Linked DNA regions of Arabidopsis thaliana. The protein of the gene in region 3 purifies or fractionates together with the protein of the main gene of each other region. This does not show direct contact. Each region holds a gene or a part of one and is shown on either strand. Other genes may lie near its edges.

Region 1 (3,687 bases), on a different chromosome or scaffold from region 3:
TGTGATGCAACTTTCTTGACAATAAAAACAAGATTGCCTTAAACTTTAGAAAAACAAAGAACAGAGTTGTGTTCCCTCCATGAGCTTTTTGGTCTGTAATAATTGCCTTTAAACTGGATTACACGGGAGGCTTGCCAGCACTTAGAAGCTGTCCAACCATTCCATTTACCTGAAAACAAATTTAATGAAAAAGAACATAAGCATTGAATTTGAATAATAGTAGTCAACTATGAGAAGATTTGAAGTATCAAATTGTTAATTGTTGAAGTATCAGAGAGCCTTACCTGCCAGTACTTGGAAACACAACGGTCGATGCAACTATTCTCACCCATGTTTAGCTCAGCTTCCTTGTACCTGAGAATTAGGCAAAGAATCTCAAAACAGGTGCAACTTACTCATCTCTCAGCTAAGAAAAGTTTCAACAATTGCAGACAAGTTCCACGACGTAATTATAGAACATCAAAAGGAGAAATAGTTTACCTTTTATCCACACATTTATTAAAGCATGTTTGAGCAAGCCTGCAATACAAGAACAAGGCCTGTCAGCATAGTCTCTAACCCGAGGAATCACAATAGACCACAAAGTATATTAGAAGGAAAAGAAACACATATAAAGATGTGACTTTCTTCATAATCTCTAACCAGAGGAATCACAAATGGCCCGGGGAAATGAATATTAACAGAACACCACCTAAGTCATATGTTATCAAAGTTTAAACTCTACATAACAGCTGAATACATATGCACAGAACTCGAGAATTCCTCATAGAAAGATTTTAGATTTCCTCCTCAAGATAAACAATTCAGGCAGCCTAAGGATTTTCGACATATCAGCAGTCTCAAACTTATACTCCTCTAGCTTATATATATCACTATTTGAAAATAAGTGAAGCCCTAAACAATGTGATCAAAACAAAATTAAACCAGATAAGCAATCACAAGTGAAAATCGAATTTCATAACGAAAGATAAACCAAATGGGTGTTTGATTCAGTACTTGTTAAAGAGTTCCACGCGATACTCCATCTCCGTTTGTGCCATACTAAACGCCTGATTCAAATCCAAGACACCAAAAAAAAAAAGCAAAATGAGAAACTTGACAACACCAATCCAAATCTAATAAATGGCTTAAAGATCTGAATCACGATACAATTTAAACCCTAAGCATTGCAAAAACATTGAAACCTATATGTCATCACAGAGACAGCTAGAAAAACTTAAGCTTCCATTGTCTAATTAGATCAAAGATCGGAGCTTTACGATGTATTAACAATAAAGGACGAGCAAATAAACCGAACCTGTTCCTTAGTAACGCCGACGGGAATAGGAGAAGCCATTTTTTTAGCAGTACCTGAATACAAAATTAATGATTCGTAAAAATCGAAACTTTATAATTCATACTTGAATTTGAAGATCATAAATCCTTACTTTCTCAAATGGGATTTCGTGAAGAGAGGTAAAGAACACAACAAAGGCTTCTCTTTTGCTACACAGCCGAATTAGGGTTTAAGAGACATTACACGCCACGTCATCAAACGAAAGGGTATAGATGTAATTACGCTAAAGTATCTGAGCTTCTCCACGACTAAAAGTCGCCGACTAATCAAGCTTTTAGGGTTTTAGCAAATTTCTATTGGAGGTATCTTCTTTCTTACTCTCTCAACTTTTTTTGCTGAAATTTTCTTCAATTTCGAGTTTTTCTTTGTGGGTTTGTTTAGCTATTCAAAGCTTTCAATTGAAGTCGTTCTCTTTCTGTGTTTTCTAGTTGGTGGTGGATTTTTGATTTTGAGTTAAGGAATTGAGTAGCAAGAAGGTGAGATATGGAGCACGGTTCGTTCACGAATGTTAGTCATGCTTCGTTTACTTTATCGGAAGAAGATCACACACTTGCTAATGCTGTTAGATTCGTCTTAAACCAAGAGTAAGTATCTTCTTCTTTCAATCCTTTTGAATCTGTTATGTATATATATAGAAGAAGCTATACACTTTCACAGAGAAAGGCTTTAGCTTTATAATCTCATACTTAGTTCGTGACACTCTCAAATTCTGATTATTGAGTTCATAGTTTCCCTCATTAGGAATGAATCTCTTACCTGTCTTTACCTTTGTTTTTGGTTAGAATTATTGTGAAGATAATCAAATTTTGTTTGAATAATCAGTGTGCACATTGTATGTTTGTGCCATTATAAGGTGATTGTGAAGGTTGAGTTCGATTCAGATTCATGTTCTGTGGTTAGAGACTAGAAAAGATAGTCTAGAATTAGCTCTTAGATAGAGACAGCAGTGACGAGGCATTATTGTTCCGATATCTTTCGTTGGATGAGTTTGGTCCATTAAGTTCGCCATTATATTGTGATTGTGAAACTTGAGAGTTCGATTAAATGTTGGTTTACATTCATGTTATGTTGTTAGAGATTCTCATTGTATTCAATGAATGTCACATTATCTTATCTTTGAGGTTGATGGAGTTGATATGCTGGTGTGTAGACAATGATGATTATGTCAATAACCAGTACTGTTTTCAATTCTGCAGTCCCAGAGTAACCGTGGCTGCATACACCATCCCACATCCTTCCCTTGAACAGGTCAATATCCGGGTCCAGACAACAGGTACTGTTTTTCAAAAACTCTGTTCATCAGAGTTAAGCTATGTTCTTTTTGGATAACTCTTATCCGAGTTCTTTGTCTGTGTGTCTAACAACATAAAACGTGTTGGCTCTGTGGCTTTTAGGTGATCCAGCAAGAGAGGTTTTTAAAGATGCATGTCAAGAGCTCATGCAAATGAACAGACATGTGAGAAGCGTTTTTGATAAGGCTGTTGCTGAGTATAAGGATGAACAAAAGCGTAAGGAGGAGGCTGAAGAAGAAGAGCTTAAGAGGCAGAGGGATCTATTTGGGTCCATGGACATTGAAAACAACTGATAACCATTGTATTCTCCTATGGAGTTTATACTATTTTTATCTTAAATCCAGATTCGTCCTTCAAATTGACTCGTCAAATTCATAATCCACACCAAAATTTAACCAAGAAGATTCTTATATTGCTTATAACCATTGTCACTACTACTCTGCTTCTTATATTTGAAAGATGGTGAAGTCTTCACCGAATTCACATAGTCAAAATTAACAAAAGGTTATATAATGAAACAAAGAAAAAAAATACTATGGATGGATTTTGATTTAGCAAAATAGATTGTTTGAATATTGATTGATAAATCCTCTTAGCCTACGCAGAGTATCATAACTACTAATAACGCAAGCGATAGTTACAGAAACTATAAGAACTTAATAGAAGAGAGTTTTAAAAGTAAACAGCAACTGGAAGTTGAGGTGTTCTTATCATCTGTTTCTTCAATAAGTTTCTTCTTGCTCGTACTCAGCTTCTTCCTCTTCATATTCTCCTTCTTCATCAGCCGTTGCATCTTGATACTGCTGATACTCAGAGACAAGATCGTTCATGTTGCTTTCAGCTTCAGTGAACTCCATCTCATCCATACCTTCACCTGTGTACCAATGCAAGAAAGCCTTTCTCCTGAACATAGCAGTGAATTGCTCACTGACACGCCTGAACATCTCTTGGATCGAAGTTGAGTTACCAATGAACGTTGAAGCCATCTTCAGACCAGTAGGGGGAATGTCACAGACGGTTGATTTGACGTTGTTAGGGATCCATTCCACAAAGTAGGAG
Region 2 (3,603 bases), 2.5 Mb from region 3:
GTATGTGAACGTAATTTAAGAGACACAAACACAAAAGTGTTCTATTGGTGCGTTGAGTGCTGCACCATTTTCCATATTGAATGCGTACTAGGTAAAAACTCGAATTTGAGTCTAAGCCAAACTCTCAAATTCTGGGTTCAGCGGGCTCAAATTCTTTTAGAAAATCTTAATCTGTAATAGACTAATAGACAATATTTCCAAGCATTCAGTGAGTTATATAGCTCTACCTCTCTATTCAAATGTAATTTGTTTTCTTCATATTTGTCTCCTTGGTTTGTGTTTGAAAAAAAATAAAATAAAAAAAGTCTCCTTGGTTTGTTAAGTTCAGTATATTGTTCAATAAACATATTTCAGAATAAATTTTTATAATAAAAATATATCTTAATAAACATTTGATCCAAAATAAATATATATTCAACTAATTATAGTGTATATTTAATATAAATATTTATATTTCTTTTGTTAAATGGTTTCCTTGAATTAATACAACCACTTGTAACTAAAAAACTTTGATATTCTCCGGTTATAAAATGGGAGCTCCATTCAAATTGTTTTTATGTGCTCTGTTCTCATTACCAATTTGATATCGTACAAAAAGAGCTGCTTCCTACTCGTGATCTAGATTGTAGATTTGAACCTTATCAAATGTGTGATCTTTACTATTTATCAGGATTAGATTACCAAAAACAAATCAATAGATGATGACTCTACAGGCTTGAGCTTTATTTTTGGCTCGAAAAATTGTCTAGATTTCTAAAACCGAACAAGAACATCAGAAAACATTGAAATATCAACATTCCTAGTTATAAATTAAACCAAAATTTCTGAAACATTGTGGTTTTATTAAGACGCCCACATGGATGAGATGCATCACTCCTTCACTTCAGCTCTTGATGATTTGTTATTCATTATAGCATCTTTTTTTAATTGGGGTCGGATTTCTCCATAGCTGCAAAAGAGAAGTATTCGAATAAGCAAGTTAACAAAAAGAATAGAGCAGAGGCAACACAAGGCAAAAGAACCGGGTATGGAGATATTACTGTTGTAGTTTAGAAGCTTTTCGATTAGATCGACATGAGTCATAAGCATACGCCTGCAGCAGTAACGGACTAATCCAAGCGCGTCAAGAGCATCCCTGCGTATTCCAAAACCAAAATTCAGATTTTCAGTTCAACAAAATGCAATTTTAGCATAATGCCTAAAACCAAAGTAGCTAAAAGATTAGATAGAAACAAGAGAATGGAATATATCAGTGATCACCTACCATCATGCTCTTTACTAACACTTAAGATAACATCTATGAACTTCAAGATGATCAAATTGCAACTAAAACAAAAACGAAATTGCGCAATTCCAAATCATGTAGCTTAACACCTAGAACCAAACGGGCTAAAGATTACACTAGCGATTAAAACAAGAAAATCGAAAAATCCCAATGATCTAACTTCATGCTTTTAGTAACAAGGCTAAAACATGTATAAACTTTCAAGATGATCATACAAGACAAGATCATGCAATCTCTTTGACTACACAAAACCATCAAATCATTCTATTGTCATGTTCCACTATTGTTTCATCTTTTACATGACTCTCATTTCAACTAAGAAAATGTCAGAAAACGTTCAAAATTCCAAGATTCAATCACTCTCATGTTCACCAAAAAAATTTCTCACAAATTATGATTCTTTTTCTAATCATAAACTATATATCGCTTACCCTTCAGCGTAATCAGCCTGGAGAAGTTCAAGGTATGTGTCCCATTTGTTCCCAATCACCTACAAAAAATCATAAACAAAAGCTTCATAAATCTCAATACTACAAACCCTAGAGATTTGTCACACACATATATATATAACAAATCGAAATCGTACAAAAAGAGAGAAGAAAAAACAAACCTTTCCACAAGTAAAACAACGAACAGGGACGATCATCGTGAACGAATCGAAACTTTAAGAGTTTATCGTCTCAAAGCGATCTTTAGGGCTTGTCTCTTTCTAACTTCGTTCTCGTCTCAAAGCAAAAATTAGTTTCATGTCTAATTATTATTGCTTTATATATTGAGTCCTATTATGTGTTTTAGCTAAAACGATACCGTATTAGTTAAAATTATTTATTTTATATCTGACAATAGAGGAGGAAAAGTATTCTTCTTCTTCTTCTTCTTCATCTGCTCGATCTTTTACATTTCCGGTAAGATCAAAATCAAAACCAAGTTCGTTTCGCGGCGGAGGAGAAGAAGAATCAGACGGGAAAATGTTGGAGAAGATCGGATTACCGCCGAAGCCATCTCTAAGAGGAAATAGTTGGGTCGTTGATGCTTCTCATTGTCAAGGATGTTCTTCTCAATTCACTTTCATCAATCGCAAGGTCTTCCTCTCTCTTAATTTCCTTACTCTCTCTATCAATTGGTACTTGCTTATTGCTATCGCGATCTTTAGATTCTTAGTTTCTTCGATCGAAATTTAGTTTCGTCTTAGTCGATTCTTCTTCGAGATCTAATTCAGAATCTGTTTATCGGAAAACTTCACTGAATGATCGGTTTCTGGTGATGTGCCTATTTGATAGATTCCATATTTTTGAGTAAATTTGGTGAATCTGGATGTTTTGTGGTTTGTGTATTACTAGACTTGTGACTTGCTGGATTCTTCTATGTCTCCCAAAAACCTTTGAATTTGCTTAATTTTTCTTAGTTTCTGTTGGCTTTGTTTTTTTGAGCGAGCAGCATCATTGCCGGAGATGTGGGGGATTGTTCTGTGGAACCTGCACTCAGCAAAGGTTGTCACTACGTGGACAAGGTGACTCACCTGTGCGTATATGTGAACCATGTAAGAAAATTGAAGAAGCTGCACGGTTTGAGTTGCGTCATGGTTACAAAAATAGAGCTGCTAAAGGTATTTATGTACCTATAGTGATCTTATTTATGACACTTTTGTGTTATCTGCTAGTTTTTGATGTAAAGAGATTGTGAATTTGTTCAGGAGGTAGCTCGAAAAGGACTGTAAAGAATGAGGATGATGTTCTCAGTGAGATTCTAGGCTCTGATGTTGATGTATCTTCTTCATCTGAATCTGTGTCTAGCACAGACAGGAATGCTTCTAAAGAAATGGCAAGTAGCAGTAGTAATAAAGGTATGGAGTTGGATGCTAGTCCTGAAGAATTGCGTAAACAAGCAGTAGAAGCGAAGAATAAGTACAGAATTCTTAAAGGAGAAGGGAAATCTGATGAAGCTCTAAAAGCATTTAAGAGAGGGAGGGAACTTGAGAGAGAGGCCGACGCATTAGAGATATCTTTAAGAAGGAACCGGAAAAGGGAACTGTCTATGCGAAATGTTGCTGAGACGCAGAACAAGGCTGCTACCAAAGAATCTAGCAAATCACAAAAGCCTCTACGTCAAGGGGGTAAAGGAAATGATGATTTGGCAGCTGACCTGAGGGAGCTTGGGTGGTCTGACGATGAAGATAAGAAACCAGCAACTATAAGTTTGGAGGGCGAATTTTCGTCTCTTCTCCGTGAAATTCCGCGAAGTGCTAATCCTCAGAAGACTGGGGGTATTGACAAGAGTCAGGTAATTGCCCTTAAGAGAAAAGCCCTTACGCTGAAACG
Region 3 (4,059 bases):
TCCTTCTTCTCCAGCGGCTACGGATTCTTCAGAACCTTCTTCCTATGCGTTAGTGAATTTTATTGTATTCTTTAGAACCAATCTTTTAGAATTGATCTTTGCTTTTCTGGTTATGTTTTGATTGATTTGTTATCTCATTTTCAGTGAACAGCTTGAAAGGCTCATGATGATAGATTCAGAAGAAGACCGGGGTCCCTCTGGGTTTGTGACCTTCTCGATTCTTTAACCACCAATCTTTGTTTTCTCTGGTCTATCTATGTTTTGATATTACTCTTTTTTTGTTGGTTTTGTTTCAGGTTTACGACTGATGAATTGATCTTTCAGGCTTTAGAAACAGTCTACGAGAATCATAATGGTCTTGATGTCGATGCGATTTTCACTTTTATCAAGGTTAGGAGGATCTCTCTGTCTCTATAAGTATCTGTGTTTCATGGTCATATCTCATGAGTAGTGTATATTGGTTCTGAAATGTGAGTCAATAGCGGGATTACACAATGGAACATTAGGATCTGAAAATTTGACTTCATGTTCCATCCCCTAAAAGTCTTCCTTTTAAAGTCTTGGTTTTGTTGATTCCTCCGTTGTTCTTGATCAACTAACCATCATGTTCTTGTGGTTAATATAAATTGCAGGAAAGGAACGAGTTACAGGAAGATTTTAGGGAGCGGTTGGAAAACCAGCTGAGATATCTAGTTTCTGAAGGCCAAGTATACAAGGTAACTAGTTTTTCAGAGTTGCCTCACACTAATGTTAAGATTCAGTAGTTTTGTTTGATCAGTTCAGAAAAACGGAAAAAAAAACTTGTAAATGCAGGTAGGAAACCTCTACAAGATCCCCCGTGGTGTATTTGATACTCCAGTTGTGTCAGTAGGAGATTCAAATCAAAGAGAAACCATGGATCCAGAAGATTCCACGGGCACAAAGGCACAAGACACACCAAGTACTTGTGCTTCTTTCGCACCACCAACAACAGAAGTAGATCCTCGGATAATCGCATTAGCAAAAGAAGTCGCAGAGGCAGAACACTTGGAGTTGGAAGCAAAAGAGGCATACGAACTTGCAGATAAACACGCCCAGTTGCTAAAATTAGAAAGCAACATAACCTTGCAGTTAGCCGTAGAAATCCTTAATCGATGTAAGTAATGTCCACCTCTTAACCTTTTATCATCATCATCATCACTGACTTTTTCATTTGATTTGGTCCTTGCAGGTGCTAACGGTGAAAAGATTTTCCTGCTGTAAAAGCTTTGACCTTCTGGTCCGGTTCAAGGTGGATATATTCGATCACCGGTTTCTTTTTAGTGTTTTTGGTTTTGAGTAAAAAAAAGAGTGTAGATATGAAATGTGATTTCATTTGACTAACTAGTCATAGTTTGTTACTTTGTGGTTAAATGATTTTGGTTGTGAAGGCAACAGACTATTCTGTTAGTTTTTGTTAATACAAGTTTTTACAGATAATGCCAATCTTAAGAATTGAATAGGTTTTTCTAATACATAACATAAGAAAGAAAAAAAGAAAGTGTGTCATGGTGTCTTTAGCAAGTATTTTTAACGGTCGAGATTAATTTCAAATACTGATCAAGAAAGAAAAAAATTAGTTATGAGAATTACAATTTTATAATGGGCCTCATTGTAAGCCCATTATAAGCTTACATAGGACTTTTATGAGTTTTTGTTCTCAGTCTGTCCCTTTAATTGTTTTTTGGCTCTTCTATCGCCCATCGCTTGGGAGATTAAAGTCTGAACTTTTTGATCTCAAGCTTCTCCATCTCTCCCTCAACTCAAGCTCCTGGTTCGGAACTATTTACTTTCCTATGCGATTGGTTGTTTATAAGTTGATTTCAGAGTTCGGATTCTTGTACTCATTAGATGTCCATATAGGTCTTGTTTACTGGTTTAATTGGGGTTTTATCAAGGAAATAAAGAGTGTTTAGGGTTTGAATTTCCGTGTTTGCAGATGGCGAGCAATATCATCTTGTTCGAGGATATCTTCGTGGTCGATCAGTTAGACCCTGATGGCAAAAAGTTCGATAAAGGTATACACTTTATTAGCCTCACTCACGATTTCTAGTACTTCTCATGGCTTACATCGACGTTTGTTCATAGCTGTTTAGTTCATGTATGTATTGTGAATGAGTTCTTCCGTTTATCCTTTTTTGGTCTGAGTGTGTGGGTTTTGTGGAAAAATTTAACTTTTTAAGTTTTTAGTCTCCCCCAAGTTTTGTTCTGTCTTCAGATTGAGTGGCTTTCTCTTAAACCTACAATGATTTTTGTTGTGTTTGTGGTTACAGTTACTCGCGTTCAAGCTACGAGCCACAACTTGGAAATGTTTATGCATTTAGATGTTAATACAGAGGTTTATCCATTGGCTGTTGGTGATAAGTTCACACTTGCGTTGGCTCCTACGCTGAATCTCGATGGAACCCCTGATACCGGTTATTTTACTCCGGTAATAAACTCTACTGCTTTTTATTTAGTTGTTTTGTTTTGAGTATATACACAGTCTCTTGTTTGCTTGGCCAAATTTCCATGAATGGTAACTTTGAACCCGTATCTGGATTTTGTTAGGATATAACTGTTAATGCTGCTAAATGGTTGATATTATAACTCTGTTGGCTGATTCGAGAAGCCTGTCTATCTAGGAATAAGAGGAGACATGGAATTTTAACAAGCTTTAGTTCTTGAATCTTCAAGATCTAAATTTGAAAACCAAGAATGTGTATGCATATCTAAACATTAATCTTATCTAGTTTTCATCTCGATACATTACAGGGAGCAAAGAAAACACTTGCCGATAAGTATGAATACATAATGCACGGGAAGCTTTACAAGATCTCTGAGCGTGACGGCAAAACTCCAAAAGCGTAAGAATCCCATATAACCCCCCCATATCAAAATAATTCAATCCAATTCAACTCACATATCAAACCATCATGTTTTATTTTATTTTCTTTAAATTATGTGTTTCCAGAGAGCTATATGTTTCGTTTGGCGGCCTCCTGATGTTGCTTAAGGGAGATCCAGCTCACATTTCTCACTTCGAACTCGACCAGAGGCTCTTCCTACTCATGAGGAAGCTGTGAGGTGCCATTTTTTCGGATAAAAACTGAATTAATAGAGAGCTTGATCTAATGTTTAACTTTTACTACTTCAACTCTTGCAATTTTCATGAAGCAACTCTTGTGCAAAAGCAAGTTTTTCCGTTCCGTTTTAAATCCCATTCCACAAATTGACTGCTCCGGTCCGGTGAAATGTACTATTTGTAGCTCTAAGCTATTGATGAAGATAAGCAATTGAGACCAAGAACATAACAAAAAACACAGACAAAGACACAGTTTTTTTTTTGGTCAAGGACACAGTTTTGTTTCTTCTCTAACCAATTTTCACTACACTCTTATCTTCTAACAACAATATGAAGCAATAAAGCTCGAAAAATAGATTCTGAGCCAAAAATAGAGTGTTTTCTCTAATCCATGCTTGTGTTTTCTCTAGTCCATGTTTGTGTTCTTGCTTCTTTGAGACTGGGAGAATATATCTTGGACGGTCGAGATTAGTCTTAAAAATTCTGAACAGATCAAGATTTAATTTTAAATCTGTATAGTGGGCCATGTTTAGGCCCAATAAAAGCTTTTGATGAGGCCTTCTAAATGGTATATATTTCGACTTGAAGAGAAAGAAAAAACAACTAGAAAATCGGAAGAATAAATGGACGGTGGAAGAAGGAAGCCCTTCTCGCCGGACTAGCCAAGCACGGTTCCGGAAAATGGACAAGTATTTTAGACGATCCAGAGTTCGCGGCTCAACTTCTAGATCGCACAAACATTAACCTCAAGGTAATCGAAAATTCCCAAAATCCCATTCGTCTTCCATGGAAATCGATTTTTGAGATTTATTATGTGGAATTAGGTCGAAATTTGGGTATTAATGTTGTATTGTTTATTCTTATTGCCCAAATTTCAAGGATAAATGGCGTAATATAAAGAAATCAAGGACACAATCACTCGAATCTACCTCCATTTTCACTTCACCTTCAGAGACTTCTCGTTCTGTTGTTAGCTA

Evidence for each region.
Region 1: the proteins of NRPB8A (region 3) and RPC14 fractionate together in Arabidopsis thaliana (co-fractionation; one large-scale study listed by BioGRID). This does not show direct contact.
Region 2: the proteins of NRPB8A (region 3) and AT1G61700 fractionate together in Arabidopsis thaliana (co-fractionation; one large-scale study listed by BioGRID). This does not show direct contact.

What each region holds. Positions count from the first base shown.
Region 1 is NC_003071.7:12,640,908-12,644,594, forward strand, and holds RPC14 (RNApolymerase 14 kDa subunit), read left to right. Parts: upstream 1-1,920; 5' UTR 1,921-2,380; coding exon 2,381-2,609; intron 2,610-2,730; coding exon 2,731-2,921; 3' UTR 2,922-3,037; downstream 3,038-3,687. Other genes in the region: TIM10 (Tim10/DDP family zinc finger protein), read right to left, coding at 119-169, 285-354, 481-519, 801-872, 997-1,049, 1,298-1,336; TUB7 (tubulin beta-7 chain), read right to left, coding at 3,351-3,687.
Region 2 is NC_003070.9:22,785,433-22,789,035, reverse strand, and holds AT1G61700 (RNA polymerases N / 8 kDa subunit), read right to left. Parts: upstream 2,025-3,603; 5' UTR 1,932-2,024; coding exon 1,896-1,931; intron 1,776-1,895; coding exon 1,717-1,775; intron 1,136-1,716; coding exon 1,041-1,135; intron 950-1,040; coding exon 924-949; 3' UTR 656-923; downstream 1-655. Other genes in the region: AT1G61710 (Cysteine/Histidine-rich C1 domain family protein), read left to right, coding at 1-177; AT1G61690 (phosphoinositide binding protein), read left to right, coding at 2,254-2,367, 2,723-2,891, 2,979-3,603.
Region 3 is NC_003070.9:20,253,253-20,257,311, forward strand, and holds NRPB8A (RNA polymerase Rpb8), read left to right. Parts: upstream 1-1,685; 5' UTR 1,686-1,792; intron 1,793-1,957; coding exon 1,958-2,036; intron 2,037-2,291; coding exon 2,292-2,449; intron 2,450-2,772; coding exon 2,773-2,864; intron 2,865-2,971; coding exon 2,972-3,083; 3' UTR 3,084-3,436; downstream 3,437-4,059. Other genes in the region: AT1G54240 (winged-helix DNA-binding transcription factor family protein), read left to right, coding at 1-48, 145-201, 297-390, 633-716, 814-1,135, 1,211-1,242.